Linked DNA regions of Saccharomyces cerevisiae S288C. The gene in region 1 interacts genetically with each later gene. Each region holds a gene or a part of one and is shown in the gene's direction. Other genes may lie near its edges. The genes, in order: APM1 and YAL037W.

Evidence for each region.
Region 2: mutations in APM1 (region 1) and YAL037W together harm fitness more than expected from each alone (negative genetic interaction), as found in Saccharomyces cerevisiae (one large-scale study listed by BioGRID).

Annotation. Positions count from the first base shown.
Region 1 is NC_001148.4:50,408-54,599, reverse strand, and holds APM1 (Apm1p), read left to right. Parts: upstream 1-1,928; coding exon 1,929-3,356; downstream 3,357-4,192. Other genes in the region: THI21 (bifunctional hydroxymethylpyrimidine kinase/phosphomethylpyrimidine kinase), read left to right, coding at 1-1,102; CUB1 (Cub1p), read right to left, coding at 3,642-4,192. UniProt on the Saccharomyces cerevisiae protein: Component of the adaptor complexes which link clathrin to receptors in coated vesicles. Clathrin-associated protein complexes are believed to interact with the cytoplasmic tails of membrane proteins, leading to their selection and concentration.
Region 2 is NC_001133.9:72,147-75,323, forward strand, and holds YAL037W (uncharacterized protein), read left to right. Parts: upstream 1-1,873; coding exon 1,874-2,677; downstream 2,678-3,177. Other genes in the region: pyruvate kinase CDC19, read left to right, coding at 1-1,142; YAL037C-A (uncharacterized protein), read right to left, coding at 1,280-1,372; GTP-binding protein RBG1, read right to left, coding at 2,897-3,177.

The DNA of each region.
Region 1 (4,192 bases):
AGACCTTGCCAAAATCACCAAGTGTTCCAATATTTTGGTTAAAGGTGGTCACATTCCATGGAATGATGAAGAAGGAAAGTACATCACTGATGTCCTTTACTTAGGGGCCGAACAAAGGTTTATAACCTTCAAGGGTAATTTTGTTAATACAACCCACACTCATGGTACCGGGTGCACCCTAGCTTCCGCCATTGCATCAAATTTGGCTCGCGGTTATTCCCTTCCCCAATCCGTTTATGGCGGTATTGAGTACGTCCAAAATGCGGTGGCCATTGGCTGCGATGTCACGAAAGAGACTGTTAAGGACAACGGGCCAATTAATCATGTCTACGCCATCGAAATTCCATTAGAAAAAATGCTCAGTGACGAATGTTTCACTGCATCAGATGCCGTACACAAAAAGCCAGTCAAAAGTTCTCTTAACAAAATCCCTGGAGGAAGTTTCTATAAATATCTGATAAATCACCCTAAAGTTAAGCCCCACTGGGACTCCTATGTGAACCATGATTTTGTTAGAAAAGTAGCAGACGGTTCCTTAGAGCCTAAGAAGTTCCAATTTTTTATCGAACAAGATTACCTGTACTTAGTCAATTATGCCAGGATTTCCTGCATCGCGGGTAGTAAATCCCCGTGTCTTGAAGACCTGGAGAAAGAGCTAGTTATTGTCGAATGCGTTCGTAATGGGCTTTGCCAACATGAAAGGAGATTAAGGGAGGAATTTGGAATTAAGGATCCCGACTACTTACAAAAGATTCAAAGAGGTCCTGCATTAAGGGCTTACTGTCGTTACTTTAATGATGTTTCCAGAAGAGGTAACTGGCAGGAGTTAGTTATAGCTCTTAATCCTTGCTTAATGGGCTATGTTCACGCTTTGACCAAGATCAAGGATGAAGTAACTGCAGCAGAAGGCTCCGTTTACCGTGAATGGTGTGAAACTTACTCATCGTCATGGTGCCACGAAGCTATGCTTGAAGGCGAAAAGCTGTTGAATCACATCTTGGAAACATACCCTCCAGAAAAACTTGATACACTGGTCACAATATATGCTGAAGTTTGTGAATTGGAAGCTAACTTCTGGACCGCCGCTCTAGAATATGAATGAATAGACACATCGATTTTTACAAAATATACAAAAAGTTATACGTAGAAATAATGAATTATGCAAAAATAGGTGTCAATAATTTAAGAATGTTCCTTCATTTTTATTAATATAGTAAAAATTGTTCGGCAGAAACCAAAATCTTCGTTCTGATTTTGGCGTTCTAGCGGCGCTACCATCCTAGTCACATACCTCAAGTATTCACCATAATTTCGTTGATAACTTATCCGGCAGAAACTTTCTCATCTTTCAGAAACCTAACACTGCAGTTGGACATTCTCGTAACATTAGCTGACAGAACTACGACAGACAGTTGCGACATAAAAAAAAAAGAATCACAACTGAACGCATCTTAGGGAAACAGTTAATGTTGGCACTGATGATTATTTGAATAGTGCGTCTTTATATATATATATTTTCTTCAAGGTATTCCTCCATCTGAAAATAATTGAGCATTCGACCCAATATAAACGTTTTCTATGCGCTAAAATTACTGCATACTATCAATAGGACTGCTATGGATCTATAATAGTTATGTAATAAAGATGAAGATATTTCAATGGTATAAAATACGCTCGATATACTATAGCCATCATTAGACGTAACTTCAACTAAGCGAGAAAGGGTATCTCTAATTATGATAATAGTCTTTGAAAGTCGTTGATAGCGATGTTAATTGAACGTATTGAAATATTGCTAGACGATGAAAAATTAAGAGTTAAACGGAAAGTGGGCTGAACAAAAAAAAGCATATAGAGAAACTAAGTCGTACAATTAAATATAGGAGTATTTTTGAAAATTGTAAATTACGAACTTGGAGGGACACAGAATGGCTTCTGCAGTGTATTTTTGCGATCATAATGGGAAACCACTCCTATCAAGAAGGTATAGAGATGATATTCCGCTTTCTGCAATTGACAAATTCCCTATATTACTCTCGGATTTAGAGGAACAATCAAATCTGATTCCTCCATGTTTGAACCACAATGGTCTGGAATATCTATTTATACAGCATAACGATCTATACGTGGTGGCAATTGTGACTTCTCTTAGTGCCAATGCGGCTGCCATTTTTACTTTTTTGCACAAATTAGTGGAGGTATTAAGTGACTACTTAAAAACCGTTGAAGAAGAATCTATTAGAGATAATTTTGTTATAATATATGAATTACTGGACGAAGTGATGGATTATGGTATACCACAGATCACAGAAACTAAGATGCTGAAACAGTACATAACACAAAAATCCTTCAAACTAGTTAAATCCGCCAAGAAGAAGAGGAATGCTACTAGACCACCCGTCGCACTAACAAATTCAGTCAGTTGGAGGCCAGAAGGCATCACTCACAAGAAAAATGAAGCCTTTCTGGATATCGTCGAATCTATTAATATGCTCATGACTCAAAAAGGTCAAGTTTTGAGATCAGAAATTATCGGCGATGTTAAGGTTAACTCAAAATTGTCTGGTATGCCTGATCTGAAATTAGGTATTAATGATAAAGGCATTTTCTCCAAATATTTGGATGATGATACAAATATCCCATCAGCGAGCGCGACAACATCCGATAATAACACAGAAACTGATAAAAAACCATCAATAACATCATCATCGGCCACAAACAAGAAGAAAGTTAATATTGAATTGGAAGATTTGAAATTTCATCAATGTGTCCGATTAAGCAAATTCGAGAATGAAAAAATTATAACGTTTATACCTCCTGATGGAAAGTTCGATTTAATGAACTACAGACTATCTACTACGATAAAACCGTTAATTTGGTGTGATGTAAACGTTCAAGTTCATTCGAATTCTAGAATTGAAATTCACTGTAAGGCCAAGGCCCAAATTAAAAGAAAATCTACTGCAACTAATGTAGAGATATTGATACCGGTCCCGGACGACGCGGATACACCGACTTTTAAATATTCACACGGGTCTCTAAAGTATGTCCCTGAAAAAAGTGCAATCTTATGGAAAATAAGAAGTTTTCCCGGTGGTAAAGAGTACTCAATGTCTGCCGAATTGGGACTGCCTTCAATATCAAATAACGAGGATGGCAATAGAACAATGCCAAAAAGTAACGCGGAAATCTTGAAGGGACCTGTCCAAATCAAATTTCAAATACCCTACTTTACTACTTCAGGTATTCAAGTACGTTATCTTAAAATTAACGAACCCAAATTGCAGTATAAGAGTTACCCATGGGTAAGATATATCACGCAAAGTGGTGATGATTATACAATAAGGCTGACGTAATGTCTGAAAAATATATAAAAAAAGCAATTTCTACGGTGCATGGACAAAGACACAGGGTACGTATGTCCTTATTCCTCTTTTTCTCCCCCCTCCCATTGACAATTATGATAATGACATAAAGTTGTTTATATATTTTTGTTTTTATATAGATGCTCATTCAGGGTTTGTTATATACATAGACATAAGAGAATAACTTTTTTTCTTTCTGTATTTCATTTTATTGTTTATAATGTTTTCCTCTACCAAGAAAATAGGGAGAAATGGAAGATAAAGAAACACTCTCCTCTATTCCTGTTGATATTCAGATTCAGGCTCGCTGTCGTTTGAGTTCGAGTCTATGCCTGATTCTCCGTTGTCATCGTCGTCAGAACCATCACTTGAAGTAGAGTTCTGTGCTTTTTCCTCGGCTTCCACTTTTAATTCATGCAAGATATCAAAACATTCTGCTAATAAAGCATTCAATATACCTTGGCCTTCAGGTATATTGCCATCAGAGTCATAGAATATACCTTCAGTTCTCAGGTTGTCCAATGAAGCCAATTTCATTTGATAAGGGTATAACTCTCTTTCATTATTCACACCTCCCATTCTTTTCAATTCTAATAGGCAACGACGAACTGTAGATAGTTGATTGTGAATTGGCTGCAACGCTTCAGATACGGGCTCTGAACTTTCCAACAGTTTATAAATTATGGCATAACATCTACGCAACAGGTATAAAAGTATTGATTGCCCCTTTGAGTCCTGAGATTTTGTTGGAAACTTACCATTGATTCTTTTGTTATCAATTTCGTTCAATTTTTTTTGGTAAGAAAATAAATCGGTTTCTCTCAAAG
Region 2 (3,177 bases), on another chromosome or scaffold:
GTGACGACAAGATCATGTACGTTGACTACAAGAACATCACCAAGGTCATCTCCGCTGGTAGAATCATCTACGTTGATGATGGTGTTTTGTCTTTCCAAGTTTTGGAAGTCGTTGACGACAAGACTTTGAAGGTCAAGGCTTTGAACGCCGGTAAGATCTGTTCCCACAAGGGTGTCAACTTACCAGGTACCGATGTCGATTTGCCAGCTTTGTCTGAAAAGGACAAGGAAGATTTGAGATTCGGTGTCAAGAACGGTGTCCACATGGTCTTCGCTTCTTTCATCAGAACCGCCAACGATGTTTTGACCATCAGAGAAGTCTTGGGTGAACAAGGTAAGGACGTCAAGATCATTGTCAAGATTGAAAACCAACAAGGTGTTAACAACTTCGACGAAATCTTGAAGGTCACTGACGGTGTTATGGTTGCCAGAGGTGACTTGGGTATTGAAATCCCAGCCCCAGAAGTCTTGGCTGTCCAAAAGAAATTGATTGCTAAGTCTAACTTGGCTGGTAAGCCAGTTATCTGTGCTACCCAAATGTTGGAATCCATGACTTACAACCCAAGACCAACCAGAGCTGAAGTTTCCGATGTCGGTAACGCTATCTTGGATGGTGCTGACTGTGTTATGTTGTCTGGTGAAACCGCCAAGGGTAACTACCCAATCAACGCCGTTACCACTATGGCTGAAACCGCTGTCATTGCTGAACAAGCTATCGCTTACTTGCCAAACTACGATGACATGAGAAACTGTACTCCAAAGCCAACCTCCACCACCGAAACCGTCGCTGCCTCCGCTGTCGCTGCTGTTTTCGAACAAAAGGCCAAGGCTATCATTGTCTTGTCCACTTCCGGTACCACCCCAAGATTGGTTTCCAAGTACAGACCAAACTGTCCAATCATCTTGGTTACCAGATGCCCAAGAGCTGCTAGATTCTCTCACTTGTACAGAGGTGTCTTCCCATTCGTTTTCGAAAAGGAACCTGTCTCTGACTGGACTGATGATGTTGAAGCCCGTATCAACTTCGGTATTGAAAAGGCTAAGGAATTCGGTATCTTGAAGAAGGGTGACACTTACGTTTCCATCCAAGGTTTCAAGGCCGGTGCTGGTCACTCCAACACTTTGCAAGTCTCTACCGTTTAAAAAAAGAATCATGATTGAATGAAGATATTATTTTTTTGAATTATATTTTTTAAATTTTATATAAAGACATGGTTTTTCTTTTCAACTCAAATAAAGATTTATAAGTTACTTAAATAACATACATTTTATAAGGTATTCTATAAAAAGAGTATTATGTTATTGTTAACCTTTTTGTCTCCAATTGTCGTCATAACGATGAGGTGTTGCATTTTTGGAAACGAGATTGACATAGAGTCAAAATTTGCTAAATTTGATCCCTCCCATCGCAAGATAATCTTCCCTCAAGGTTATCATGATTATCAGGATGGCGAAAGGATACGCTAAAAATTCAATAAAAAATTCAATATAATTTTCGTTTCCCAAGAACTAACTTGGAAGGTTATACATGGGTACATAAATGCAGATGCCAGTGAACTATGTTCAGCTTCTGGCCTTCGTTTGGTGGTTTAATCTATTTTTTATAAAAAATGACGCGGGCAGATTCAATTAGTGTCCTAAATTTATTCGCGTTTCAAGATTTCAAAGGATTGATCCTCTTATCAGAAACGATAAGTGCTACTCCGTCCTATTCTTCTAGCCATCTAGTACGTATTCTTTTCATAACATAATCCCTTATTTACAGAATGTGTTTCGAAGAAAAATTAATTAGATGGGAAGAAAACTGAAGTGGCTTATATAATCAGTGACATAGTGCCAATAATTACGCAAAAAGCAAAGGAAATAACACTGCTATGGATATGGAAATCGAAGATTCAAGCCCCATAGATGACCTGAAGTTACAAAAACTGGATACCAATGTTTATTTTGGACCCTGTGAGATATTGACACAACCTATTCTTTTGCAATATGAAAATATTAAGTTCATCATTGGTGTCAATCTAAGTACTGAAAAGATAGCGTCGTTTTATACCCAGTATTTCAGGAACTCTAATTCGGTAGTCGTGAATCTTTGCTCACCAACTACAGCAGCAGTAGCAACAAAGAAGGCCGCAATTGATTTGTATATACGAAACAATACAATACTACTACAGAAATTCGTTGGACAGTACTTGCAGATGGGCAAAAAGATAAAAACATCTTTAACACAGGCACAAACCGATACAATCCAATCACTGCCCCAGTTTTGTAATTCGAATGTCCTCAGTGGTGAGCCCTTGGTACAGTACCAGGCATTCAACGATCTGTTGGCACTCTTTAAGTCATTTAGTCATTTTGGAAATATCTTGGTTATATCATCACATTCCTATGATTGCGCACTTCTCAAATTTCTTATTTCCAGGGTGATGACCTACTATCCACTAGTGACCATCCAGGATTCTTTGCAATATATGAAAGCAACCCTGAACATATCCATCAGTACATCCGATGAGTTCGATATTCTGAATGATAAAGAACTGTGGGAGTTTGGCCAAACCCAGGAAATTCTAAAACGTAGGCAGACGAGCTCAGTCAAGAGGAGATGTGTCAATTTACCAGAAAACTCTACGATCGATAACAGAATGCTTATGGGTACCACAAAGCGAGGTCGCTTTTGAAGAGCCCTCGGTAGCATAACATTTTTAATTATTACGACTGTTTTTTTTATTCATTATGTAGAGATAATTAAATGTTATAGATGCTCTATACTCAAACGGTGGAAGAAAAACAGCGAAAAAAAATAACCGATACCCCCTTTTCGAATACAAATGCTTGTATATTCAATTATGAATTATTTTTTTTTTTTTTCATTTCTTATATTATTTTTTGTTCGAGAATCACTTTTTCAAGATGGTAACAACATCTTCGTCTTCCAAAATGTGACTCAACCCCACGTATTGAGGTTGATGTTTGACACTGCTACCGTAAACCAGAGCATTTCTAAAGTCGTCCACTAAAGATTTATGAATTTGGTTACAAAAATCCTTGACACTGCAACGGTCTGATCTTAGCACCACAGGGTCGGTAAAATCTGGTATTTGGCCCTTTGGTTTAGTGTAAATACGGACTAGATTTAGTCTATCCCACATGACTTGCAACAGCTCGTCCAAGTTCCAAT